Linked DNA regions of Saccharomyces cerevisiae S288C. The protein of the gene in region 2 purifies or fractionates together with the protein of the main gene of each other region. This does not show direct contact. Each region holds a gene or a part of one and is shown on either strand. Other genes may lie near its edges.

Region 1 (6,119 bases), on a different chromosome or scaffold from region 2:
TCATTATTTTGGGGCGATTGCTCCAGAATTTTCAACAGAATGGTAACAGAATGTCCTAGAGCGGGAAGTAAATTAGGTTTTGAGTTCGAAAAGAACTCTTTATGGTACCTTTGCGATCTTACTGATTTGAAAAACTGATGCAAGACTAAACAACCAGCGTACTTGAACTCGTCTGATCTAGTAATTAATTTTTGATTATCTTTATCAGAACTGACTAAAAATGTGATTAAGGGGAACAGTTGTTGTCCCAATTGCTCGGAGAATTTACCATTAGATGACCAACATGTCCGTAAGAGATGAAATATAATTAGTAGGACGTATTCTGTTTGAGACTCGCCGAGAGCTGGCTGTTTCAATAAACTCGCGATAGGAACAAAAACATAATCTGCAAATTTTGGCGAAAGTGAATCGTCTTCGTATGCTGATAACTTCTCTTCAACTTTTTTTAAACATGCCAATAGCGTTAATGAATTTGGATCAAATGATTCGGTGGGTAAAAAAGCGATCCTAGAAAGTTCAACACATGAAATTCTTATGTCCTTAAATGCATTCGTGTCTGAATTCATTTGCACAAAGCTTTTGAACACCAGCTATTGCAATCTTTCCTTTCGATGTGCATGTTCACTATAATATTTTATTGTAATGAGATTGAAATAAAACGATAAAAACCCAAACATGTACTATAGTATATTATACAAAAATAACTGAGCTCACCACATAAAGTAGTGTGATAAATCAAATACAAATCATCCCTTTTTATACTTAGTGCAATATACAAATATATTGTTTACGTAAATACTGGAAATTCACAGTCCATATTTGGACATTTCCAGTTTTTCCAAAGAAGACAATAGTTCACCTTTACCGGCTAACAAAGCTTCTGTGTCCCCCAAAACAGCATGTGCTTCTGGATGGGGGACCCAAATAACGTGTGCACCAAATGCCTTGGCTGATTTTACGCCTGGAATACCATCTTCGAACACTATACACTCATCGGGCTTAATATCGGTATGAAACTTCTCATTCAATTCCTTTAAACCCAACTGCCAAATGTCCGGGAAAGGCTTACCCCTACCTTTTGCAATTCTTGGATCATCACCAGTGACAATGGTATCGAAAAGATCAAAACCTTCCTCTAAATGACTTGTTTTGCCGCGAAATTTAGTCTTGTTCGAAGACGTACATAATGCAATAGGAATGTTCTTTAACTTTAAGTATTTCAACAAATTCAATGCACCGGGAAGAAATTCGCAAGTACCCCATTTAAGAGATTGCAATGCAACATTTCTTTCGTCGTACTCATCTAAAGTTATTGGTAATTTGTAGTGTTCGATCACCCTTTTTCCTGCTTCCGGTCCCGGAAGCCCTTGCAATTTAATCTTCACATCCCAAGTTAAAGGTCCCTTACCAAATTCTGCGAGAGTTTCATTTAAAGTTTCAGTATAAATATCCTCTGTGTTGATGAGAAGACCATCCATGTCAAATAGACATGCCTTCACTGCTACAGGATGTGTCATAATTTGTTAAAAAAAAGAAATTTACTTTTGCGTTCTTATTGTCAAAGAAACAAAAGCAGTGTAATTGGAAGGCAGTGACGGTCTTAAGATTCCCCAACTTGGAGTTGGAGCGATTTAGATTCACCTCAATGGATCTTGATCGGCAATATTTTCCCAATAATTAATTCCTCGAAAAATGTGTCATACGGAAAAAGGGTAACACTAAAAACCCTTGTGAATTATCCTAAGTCTAGTTTGCCTATTGTATATTTAAGCAAAACTACTTTAGTGGTAATAAAAAGTTAATGCACTATTCATGTAAAATTTCTTATTGCAATGGTTGACAAATAGGAAATGTCACGGTATCTTGGATCTTGAATACAAATACAGTATATAGTTCTTAGGATCAAGAGATGCTATCTACAACGGAGGTAATGGTGACCTACACACAGGACATTGTAACTTATAATTCATCCAGTTTTCTAGACACGAAGTATGAAATACGTGATTACAAGGCGTTACCATGTAAGAGTGCTGATCCACCTTATGAGTTTCTGGAATTTCCTCTATGTAAATTGGAACATCAGACATACATATCGCGCAATCAACGGTATGTTCAGCAGTTCCACCACCATGCTCCGATATATACTCGTTTGAAAGGGGCTTGAAATACGAATATCCATCAGGTATTGTGTGCTTAGGCAAGAACCAGCGCGATCCCAATACATCTTGAGAATACAGTATACTAATTTGAAACAGTAGCCACAATGATAAAAATACGACGAAATGAACATCTTTATGGTGCCTGAACACATTAGAGGAGTAAGTGAAAACATACACAACGGGCAAGCTTCTAATTATTGTTGTACCAATTACAAAACTCCACAATAATGGCATTTTGTTTTGACTTCTATTTCCTCCAATGCTAGATCTTGCTCTTTCTCTTCTTGAAGGAATACCTTTAACGGCGTTACGGAAAATTTGAGGGATCCAATATGAGTTTAATATGAAGATTAGGATATACTCAAATACCATCCTTAGCTGACGGGGCCATGAAGTTGAACTCAATATTAAAAACGTGAAAATGATTAGCATAAAGAAAAACCTACCATATAACGAGCCACCGATAGACCCTTCATCGGGAATGAATGCGGGTCTTGGCCTATTCTCATCATATGTGCCAGTGTTACCACGCAGGAGGTTGATAATCCCAACATTCTGTTCGTTAACCTGTGAAGCGTAAATTGAAATTAAGTAGCGTATTTCAAAAATAGATGCCAAGATAAAGCACGAAAAAGCACTTATAACTAGGGGTAAGTACAATTCGGGAACGACACTAGCTGCGACAAAGTACAAAGTGGCCAAGGAACCATCGACTAAGTTTATCATTGAGAAACAATAGAATGAGATTTTGTTGACCATGGAGGGGGTATTTGTATGATGCATCTGAGTAAGCAATAAGTATATCTGGGCTGCAAATAATGCAATACCGAACAATAGATGTTTTCTGATCGACATTATTTTTAATTCGTACCGTGTACCCTTTACGTTATGAAGCCCTAATCGTACGCCACAGTCTGGAGAATACAGTAATCCAGAGACAACATTTATGGGCGGTAAACTAGACAGATTTGCCGGACGCCCCAGGGGCCAATTCAATTCATCATCTATTAACTTGATCTGATCTCTTGTGTACTGATTCCATGGTTCCAACTGAAGAAAAATCAAATACTCACATTTAAAGTTGGCATTATTATAAGCATCCTGTACGTCTTTCATGGTCATGACATCTGTGTAATCCGTGAAATTCCAAAATTCATCAACGAGTTCCTTGACATCATTAAATATTTTCTCATTATAATCATTCTGGAAGGACATGTAATGAGGAAGGGCGAACAATGAATGAAATTTAGAACTCTGAGAAATAGAAAGAATTCTACCACGTTGAATGTCATATACAGCCTTCGAGTATATGGAATGCTTTTCCTTTTCAGCCTTATCTGAGAAATCAATCTGAAGATTTAACAACTTCCAACGGTCATTTTTCTTATTTATGAAATTTCTCCTTAAGTAATTATTATTGTCCTGAAGATTGCTCATATGAGAAATTTGAATAGCTATTTCGCCATGCTGAAAACTCACATTATGAAGTTCGCCATACGAAGGCCACTCAGACCAGTACGTCTCACCTTCAGGAGGAATATCCTCTGAAAAATCAGTTGCCGGCTCATAGAATCTGGGTACAGGCATCCTTATCTTTTCGTACTTGTTATTTGATACAAGGTCGATTTTACCTAACAGGGTGCTTGTAATATTGGGAGGGAAAAGGTTGGAAGCGTCATCATTCGAAGTATTCCAGACTTCAGTATTTATGGCCTCTATGACATCGTTGGGCAAAACCATGTAGTTTTGATTGGGAAACCATCGATCATAATCTTTTCCTGGTAGTGGGTAAGTGGCATTTTGGAGAGGATTATTCAGCATGTCTTGGTAGCTGAGTTTAAGCCCGGTAATATTTCGAAAACTATCTGTATATGTCATATTGACGAACGTATTGTGCTCTGTTCGGAACTGCTGCTTGAGTCTCTGGAGTTGATTGAACTCATATTGAGAAGACACACCATCACCACCCGGTGAGGAGAAAAATAGGAAAAGGATCACTATTATGAACACCAGAGTGTTGCCATCGATTTCCATACTGTACTTTTGCCTCTTTTGCTGTAGGACTTTCCTTTTTTGCCTGAATTAGTAGAAATACGGGACAAATGTAACAAACGAGATTGAACTTGCTTTTTTACAATATCTTTTGGGGTGATAATTGAAAGATGACGATCCGAGCTTGTCACCTTTAACTTACGTTTATTCTATTTCCCTAAAGTTCACAGACCCTTACCCCGCCAAAGGAAAATCTCTATATATACTGAAGCTACGCTTAACAAATATATAACATGACGTGAGTGAAGAATTATGAACACTAAGCTTCTTTTGCATTTTTTTTTGCTTCTGTATAAGTCTAAACATATAAATGTGTATATATTAGAGATATATAACCCATTGAAAAAAAAAAACTGCGTGTAGTAGAATAAATAACCTAACGGAGAATTGAAAGTAAAAAAGGGATTGCAAGCCGCACCTTCAATGTTCCAAGATTTGCAAATTACCAGTAACGACAACATTTTCCAATATGGAGCCGTTTGGAATATCGATTTTATGACCGTCGGAGCAAACGATGATGACAGTACCCCTCAAAGTGACATCTTTACCTAAAAAGACGTTACCAGTGATGGTCAAATGATCTAGCTCGACGATTTTTGGGATGTGAGGGATTCTTGCGTTAAAACCAGAAACCTTTTTGAAATGCGAGCCCAACTTGATTAATGGGTTTGGACCAAAACGGGATGGGTCTAACTTCAAAGAACCGTGTTCCAGACGGAATAGATCTGATTTAACCAGCAACAAATCGGAACAGGTCTTGACAGGCAAGAATCTTGATCTTGGAACGACAACACCGTGAGCACCATCAAAATGCCTGATAGCAGCACCACAAGCGGTTTCTAATTGTAAGACATTAATTTCATGACCGTCTCTTGTTATAGTTTTTTGGTTTGGAATGATTTCCATCTCCAAATTGCTCGATTCGATCAACCTCTTTACTGCTTTCAGATTGATCCATAAGTTATTCGTGTTGAAGTTGGTAAACTTTCTGATATTTTTGAATTCGTCAATGTGTTCTTTTGGAACTTGGGCGACTTCCAATAAACGGACTTGACCATCGTAAGAAATCAAAGTACCACCTTTAACATCGGCTCTGGTCTTATCAGTCAATTCCATTATATATTCGGCACCAGTCTCGATCATGTGGTTTAAAATTTTTAAGTCGACGGTAGCACCCAAGTTGTCACCGTTAGAAACAAATAATATTTCTCTTCCTTGGGCAATTAAGGCATCCAGTTCACCAGATACGTGTAAAGATTCAAACAAATCACCGTGACCTGGTGGATACCAAGCATCCAGTGGAGAATCGTATTCGGTGGGGACAGGCAATAAAGAATCCTTGTAGACTCTTGGGAACCTGGATTGATTGAAAGATCTGATTCTGATTCTGTTAGCGGAATACTTCTTAATCAAGTGTTCCGTATCCTTGTCAGTGTTGAAAGAATTCATCAATAACAATGGCACGTCGCTATCGTACTGTCTGTTCAAGTATTCAATTTGACGAACAGACAAATCCAAAAAGGTGTTTCCCTCTCTCACTTCAATAACAGATTTAGGGCCAACGCAGCCCATGGAGGTACCCAGCCCACCGTTCAACTTCAAAACAGCCAATTTGGAAAGGTTTGAGACATTCTCGGGCTGCTGAGAAATAATTTCATACTTAACCACTTCATCCGGGTTGGGAGACTTGATCTTGTCCCATTCCAAGGTGGTTCTAGAAGACTTCTCTACCAAATATCTCCTGAAAAGCGTGAAAAACGAATCCAGTTCGTTCTCAAACTTAGCGCGAGCAGCATCGTCAAGTTTACTAGAGTCCGCCAACTTGTTTAAGGCGTTTCTCATTTGTGAGGCAGCAACGCTGTTTGTGTTGCTCTCGAATGCATAAGTGGAATGTGTTTTGGTGTGCTT
Region 2 (6,920 bases):
ATAGAACACGATCCTGTGGAAGGGAATCTTGAATTTGATTCTACCAACCATCCTGACTATGATGTATCTAAAAAGGCTTCTGAAATTTCAGTTAGCTCAAGATCTGACAGAGAATACCCACTATTAATCAGAATGTCTTATGGCTCGCATGACAAGAAAACAAAATGCTCAACAGTGGTAAAAGCAAGTGAGTTAGATCAATTTTGGCAAGAGTATTCATCTGTATTTAAGGGGGGCATGCAGAATTTGATCAAGAAGAAGAAAAAGAAGAGTAAGAACGGTACCATCAGTAAGACAGGAAAGAAAAACAAGGTAGCGAAGAAAAACTGATGCACGTGACACTTGAGTCAAAAGGCATGTGCGCCTCTTGTTATCTTTGGATGTGTAGATTAAAGGATGGCAACGTAGATATAAAAGATTAATTGCATAAAGTTGTGTAGATATAAATTTAACTAAACTTTAGAATAAACGTTTTGAGATGACTATTTTTGAAATTCCTTTCATTCGTCCAGGCGTTCCATTACAATATTTCCTGATGGATATATGCCGCTAACGTCAGATATTTTGGTAGATAAATCAAGCTCTCTTCTTGGTACCGGCGTGATCAATTTGAAGCTATACTGGTGCTGATAATTAGCAGGTTGGTATACGGGTAAAGTATCGTTTTCTGAGTTCAACATGTCATGCAACTGTAATTCTACGAAGGCATATATCTCCTCCGTTGGTAGAGATGCGTCAAACTTTCTCACTAATCTCTGCCCATTTTCTAGTCTGATCGCAACTTTGCTTGCATCTTTATCAGAAGAGGGTTCGGGTTTTAGTTGGCTTTTTCTCCACAATAGCCATTGGTTTTCTATTCTTTGGTGCTCTCTTTCCATTTGTTCTCTTTGGGTCTGTTCCAATCTTTCTGATTCTCTTTGTTGATCACGTCTTAAGGAATCCTGGTATCTTGAATCCTGTTGTTGTCTTATTAATCTCTGCATTTCAATATTTTGTCTTTGCTGACGCAATTGAATTAATCGAGAATAATTCTTGGAGAATATGGCCTCCAAATCTTGGGCTTTGTAGTTAGAAATAGAACCTTCAACTCTTGCTATTAACTCTATTTTTTTCTCAGCCTTTAAAGAAATTATTCCAAGTAGGGGATATTGCCTAATTTTTAATGCATTGGAAACTTGCAACCCCTCGGATGTAGTAACGTCACCATACCATAGTAATACCTGGTACTTCCTTATCATGTTAACAAAGGCTTCTGAGCACAATATTTTATTAACGTAATCCATATGATTATCCAACAATGGGTCATGTAAATAAATGACTCCAAATTTCACTTGTTCGCTACAAGCATCCAATAATTCAGTGTAACTATTTTGCATAATGCTTTTGGAAAATGTTCCATTTTCAGGGTTGTATAAAGAACCAAAACTAAACTGGACCCCACTGCTCTCATTGTTGCTCGTACTGTCAGTATTGCTGCCATCATCATTATTCCCGTTACCTTCAGAACACGTTACAGCTTGAGCTTCGTTTTCTAGATTTTCTAAAAGACGGTGTAATTGGGAACTGTGGTCTAGTAAACGGTTGTGCTTCCTCTGGTAGAATCCGTGAAGTCTTAATAGAGGTTTTAAAAGACGTGAACTTCGGACAATGAAATTCAATAAATAATAAAGAACTATTAGGGGAGCTTGAAATAAAAAATGGAGTATTGATTTTAAGCGTCCATCCCGGCTCTGTGTGGGTTCATTTGTATTGCTGTTTTGATCTTCTGTCCTTCCATTCAAATCAGCAGGTGGTTCTTCTCTAAAAGCACCTGGGATTCGAATAAAGGAATCATCATTATTTCCAAAAGTATGCCTAAATATATCCATGTTTAAAGGGTATGTTTAAATCGCAGTCAAGCCGATTGATGAGGTACAACAAAATTTGGGAGTACGATTGCCCGCTGTTTTTGAACTTACTCTCACTTTTTGCTTCGTATGTAATTAAGCAAGGATGTGTTACAATAAGATTTCGCTTTGTTATTATCGTTTTAAAAGCGGTCGCCGAAGTGTCGAATAAAGGACAATGATAACGTAAAGAGAAAGAAATTGGAAAGAGACTGACCGCTAAGGAGATTGAATACATATATATAATAGTATGTGGTTAACTTGGAGAAGATAAATTGGATTTAAAGTAGTGGATAATTTTTCTTACATTTTCTATTGGTAAACCATAGACAGGGTTGACATCAGTAAGTTTCGATGATCCAATTAGGCGGTCTGGAGTACACTTAATATTATGTGGAGAATCATTAGGAGTGCAACTGTATGAACTTTCCGCAACAGCCAGTCCTAATAGGCAATAATTTGTATGGTAAAAGTCTGAGTGGGCCCCTGGTTTATCTCTCAAACCAGGTTGCTCTTTTTCTTGGCAACAGTACAATATGTAGTCCCGAAGAGCATGTTTGTTGAAGCATTGGCCATATCCAAAAGCTTCAAGAATGGCAGCCGAACCTCCAACCCAAAAACTATAGCAACCGTCAACAAGTTTGTTGCTCCTTCCGCAAAATCCTCGTTCTTCTTGCAATTGACGAGCACTAGACCATTCTAAAAGCTTTTCAACATTTATTTGGTCCATGGACCTTAAAATTGCTAGACTAGCTGTAGCACAGAAAGTATAGCCTCCGTGTGCCTCATCTACGTGAGGACAACTGCCGAATCCACCTTCATAATTTTGACAATTTTTCAAATAGTTTAACACACCTTCTGTAAGCTCTTCTGTAAGAATATTTAATAAGGTTGCTATGCTCAAGGCACAGTATATACCTCTTGTATCCACTTCTCCGACTTCTAAACAGGTCTTGAATCCTCCATTAGGCTCTTTCAACGATATCAGCCATTGGTAAATTCCTTTTCGATCAATTCTGTCCCAGCATCCATCTATGTTATCGCAAAGGGAGAGAGCATTAATTGCAGCATAAGTGCTGGCCAAATGAGATAATTGGCCAGGACCTCCACCAAAGGGTCCTCCTGAAGGACTAATAGTAAAGAGCTTATCTACAATTTTTCTTTTGGTGTCATCTGAAAGCCAGTCTCTGTCCATTACCTTCAATGAGTTAGCAATCCAATATAGCATCCACGGTTGTGAAGCATCTAGTGCTGTCATTTGTGGAGGTAACGATATCTCAAAAGCGACATCCAAGTACATTTTGTGAAACTCTTTCGTGAGAGCAGGTTCTATATTCTTTTCATCATCGTATATCTCTAATACACTTTGTAGTACTTTGTATCGTGCTTCTGTAGTGTCGGTTTCTAGTTCCTTCATCAATGGTTGGATTGCTTTACTTGAATCTACATGCGCTATATCGACGACTCTTTCCATAACTGGTCTCTTTCTTCCTAATAAGGCAGTATTTATAAATTTAGCCCTAGCTATGGACCTTCCTACTCTCTGTCGCATACGCTTTGATTGCCTATAGCTTTACAAGCACTGCAGTTGTTTCTGCATAAGAACGGCGATGATATGGACCCTTGCTTGGTTTATCCTAGCCACTTTCGCGTGTTTCAGTTTCAAGCTTTCCTAATCAGGCAACAGCTTATACGAAAAGATTAATAAGTTACAATGTTAAACAGTTTCGCTTCAAGACCTCTAACGTTAGCCAGAAATAATAAGAATAGGTGGATTAAGTTACAAGTGTTTTTGTCCTCCTACTTAATCAGAACAGAGCACGGGAATAGTGATCTCTTTCAATAGCGAAAGGAGGGAAAAATAGCCCTGCAATATATAAAGGAAGAAGTTAACACCGTATTAAAAGGGGTGAGGCCGTTGGGACAAGTGGTAGTTTCCTTAAAGTCTGGTTTGATTGACAATATTTAGAAGTTAGTGAAACGAACAACCTAAAAAACTTTGTTGTGCAGTAGAGAGCTTTACATTTACCTTCGGCAGTAAAATGGGTTCAAATGATTTGATAAATGAAGCATATGACGACTCGGAAGTAGTTGGTGAGGAAAGAGAATCAAAATCTGCATGGATGAAGAGGTGGTATCAGCTACTTACTTCTCCTTTAGACTTGCAGTTGGTAATAAATGAAAAGTTAGAAATGATCAACTGGGATGCTTATGCTAAAAGTCTAGCTAAGCCATTAGGGAATTTTTTAACAATACTTTTTTTTATCATAAGACTCTTGCAGGACAATTTGATCAAGCCCAACTATTACAAACTAAACGTCAAGTCTGGCGCTTTCGATCTTTCTAAATCCAATAAATTAAAAGAGTTTGATTATCTATGGGAGATATCATCCAGCTTTCAAAACAATAATCAATTTTATGCATTTCAATCTTGGTATTTTGTTACCTTAAGGTTTTTGAATAATCTTTTCAGGTTTACTATTTTCATACTGCTGTCCCTGAACCTGTACGTAAGCTGTAAATTCATGTTTGGATACTTTAAGACTTACAATCTCTTCCATTTGAAAAAAGAGTTCAACTCCCCAAACCTCACTAAACACAACTTGAAGGATCTAAGCAAAGAATACTATGAAGATATTTATAAGCAGTCCTTGTGGTCTATGTTGAAGCATTTTTTCAGAGGATCTCGTGATGACGGTCCTCATGTTAATCAAAATGAAGATGAGATATTTTTTCAGTTAAGAAAATGGATCCCCACTAACTTCATGATTAATCTTTTTGTGTCTTTTTCACCAACGGCAATTGTTTTTTTAAGCTTTTCTGATGTTTCGTTTACTTCAGCAATTGCTATAGTATTCCATCAATATATTCTGGATTATATCATAACTAAGAGATTTCAAAGAAGCGTGGACGACGACTTGATTTTATCAAGTGCAGCTTTGCAAGAATATGAGGACAAGCATATAATGGCACGAATTAACCAATGCAGCAATATAGATACTCTATCATCTGCAATGGGTACTAGATCTAAAACACCGAGAATATTCACCACTCACTCCCTATGTGGCGAAGAAATCAGAGAGGTTTATAATTATGAAAAAAGGGAATTTGAGGCATTACCGAAAATGACAGAAAGTGTGCCAGGATCCCGTGAAACCAGAATAAAGGATTATGGAGGCATTTCTCAAGTATCTGACCATCAAAGTCATCCCATTGGTTTTCATTATTCTCCTAGAATGTCCCCATATTATAGGGATAAAGTTTTGGATAACAATTTGGCTCAATCATCGTCAAATGAAAATTTAGAGAAGGGCGGAGCTTACCTGCCGAATCAAGACCAAAATAGACCATCGAAATCCCTGAGCCCATTGAGAAAAACGCCTTTAAGCGCACGACAGAAAAGGTTTGAAGGCTCAGAGTTCAATGTATTGAATAAGAATGATATTAATTCCATTCTTCGCTCTCCAAAGAAAAAGAAGAACTATCACAAAAGATAACGTTTCTTAATTATGTCTAAGTATATACAGTTACGTAAAAATCAATAAACAAAAGTAAAACAATGCTGTTTGAAAAGTTATCAAAATAATAAATGTATGAAGTATTGTAAATGTTCATGAATAATTAGCTGGACGATTTCTGTTATAGGTCATTCCAACCAAATAACCAATTACTCAGTTTGTGCGTAAAACCAGCAGGTTCATTATTTCTGTATTTCGCTTCTTGCTGACGCATTTTCGATTCTAGGTTTCGCAACAGATTAGGAATATTCGAATTCGGTCCTGCATTTTGCATGAATGGCAATTTGCCATCTATTACATCCAGCCGCTTATTCGGAGAATTTGCTACTATTGGACTTGAAATATTTGTTGGATTACCAGCATGACCGGCAGGAGTATTATCGTCTTCCCTCAGAAGAGTGCCATCAGTTATTATTACGTTTGGTGGGGATGGTGTATTAGATGTCGACGATGTGGAGGAATTTTGATACATAGAAACGTTGAATTCTCCAATGTCGTCGACATTATCAATTTTGCAGCCAGCTAATTGCTCCACCGCATTTTTTGAATATGGGATGCAACCAATCAAAGAACCGCGAAATATGGTTCCATTTTCCTGCAGTGCTCTCAAAGCAGAAGATGGAGAATTATAAGTGAGTTTGACCCAACTTTCACCAGTAAATATTGGATATTTTTTGTTATTCGACTCATTATTTCTGCCTTTTAAAGTAATAGATTTATTAACAGTAGAATCGTTTTCATCACAGCCTGTATCATGATTATGGAATATTCTGAAGGTGTTGGGGTTAATCCCGCGACCCAATCGCAATACTTGAAAGTCTTCCATAATATGACCGAAATGGGAGAAGTGTTCAATCAATTCATTGGAAATTGATTCAGGATAGCCAAATACGATAATTGCGCTCAAACTAGAAGACTTGGAAGATGTTTCATGGACTTTATTGTTTGTTTCGGCGGTGTTGTAATTATTATCTAAATGGTTCTGTTCAATGTTTGCTATTCTAACATAAGAGTCTTTATCAAAAACATTTGGAGTATTTTTGGAATCATAAGCTGACCTATTTGTTTTCTTCGCCGTGTATTTGTCGGTAACAAACTGAGTTGTTAATGATGGAATAGAACCGAATTCATCCTCGCGTTGCCAATCCTGTAAAGTAACGGAGGGTGGAATATCGTTAAAATTTGACAACAGAGAATTGATGTCATTATTTGCCGCAGACTTATTTCTTTCATTATGCTTGGAATCTTGATTTTGCTTACTGAAATTTCTCATAGTAGCGTTCATAGAAGATGAATCATCATTCTGGTTGATGTCAGAAGAAGAATTTTGCTTTGTTGTCTTCCTTCTTATCACCGTATGAGGAGTGAATCTCTTTTTAGGATTATTCACCCAGCTAGGATTATTCCCTTGGCCATGTTGGCTTATGTTATTTGTGCCGTTTTTAATGTTGTTGTTGTTGATGCTATTGTTACCGATATTACTACTATAGTTATTGGCGTTTACAGTATTGGAAAG

What was found.
Region 1: the proteins of UBX3 (region 2) and TUL1 purify together in Saccharomyces cerevisiae (affinity purification with western blotting; 6 studies listed by BioGRID, with this or other methods). This does not show direct contact.

What each region holds. Positions count from the first base shown.
Region 1 is NC_001143.9:369,903-376,021, reverse strand, and holds TUL1 (ubiquitin-protein ligase TUL1), read right to left. Parts: upstream 4,194-6,119; coding exon 1,917-4,193; downstream 1-1,916. Other genes in the region: TTI1 (Tti1p), read right to left, coding at 1-566; YKL033W-A (haloacid dehalogenase superfamily protein), read right to left, coding at 807-1,517; UGP1 (UTP glucose-1-phosphate uridylyltransferase), read right to left, coding at 4,632-6,119. UniProt on the Saccharomyces cerevisiae protein: Catalytic component of the DSC E3 ubiquitin ligase complexes that tag proteins present in Golgi, endosome and vacuole membranes and function in protein homeostasis under non-stress conditions and support a role in protein quality control.
Region 2 is NC_001136.10:292,892-299,811, forward strand, and holds UBX3 (clathrin-mediated endocytosis regulator UBX3), read right to left. Parts: upstream 1,869-6,920; coding exon 501-1,868; downstream 1-500. Other genes in the region: RNA-binding signal recognition particle subunit SRP14, read left to right, coding at 1-330; RAM1 (protein farnesyltransferase), read right to left, coding at 2,143-3,438; NUR1 (Nur1p), read left to right, coding at 3,929-5,383; FG-nucleoporin ASM4, read right to left, coding at 5,526-6,920.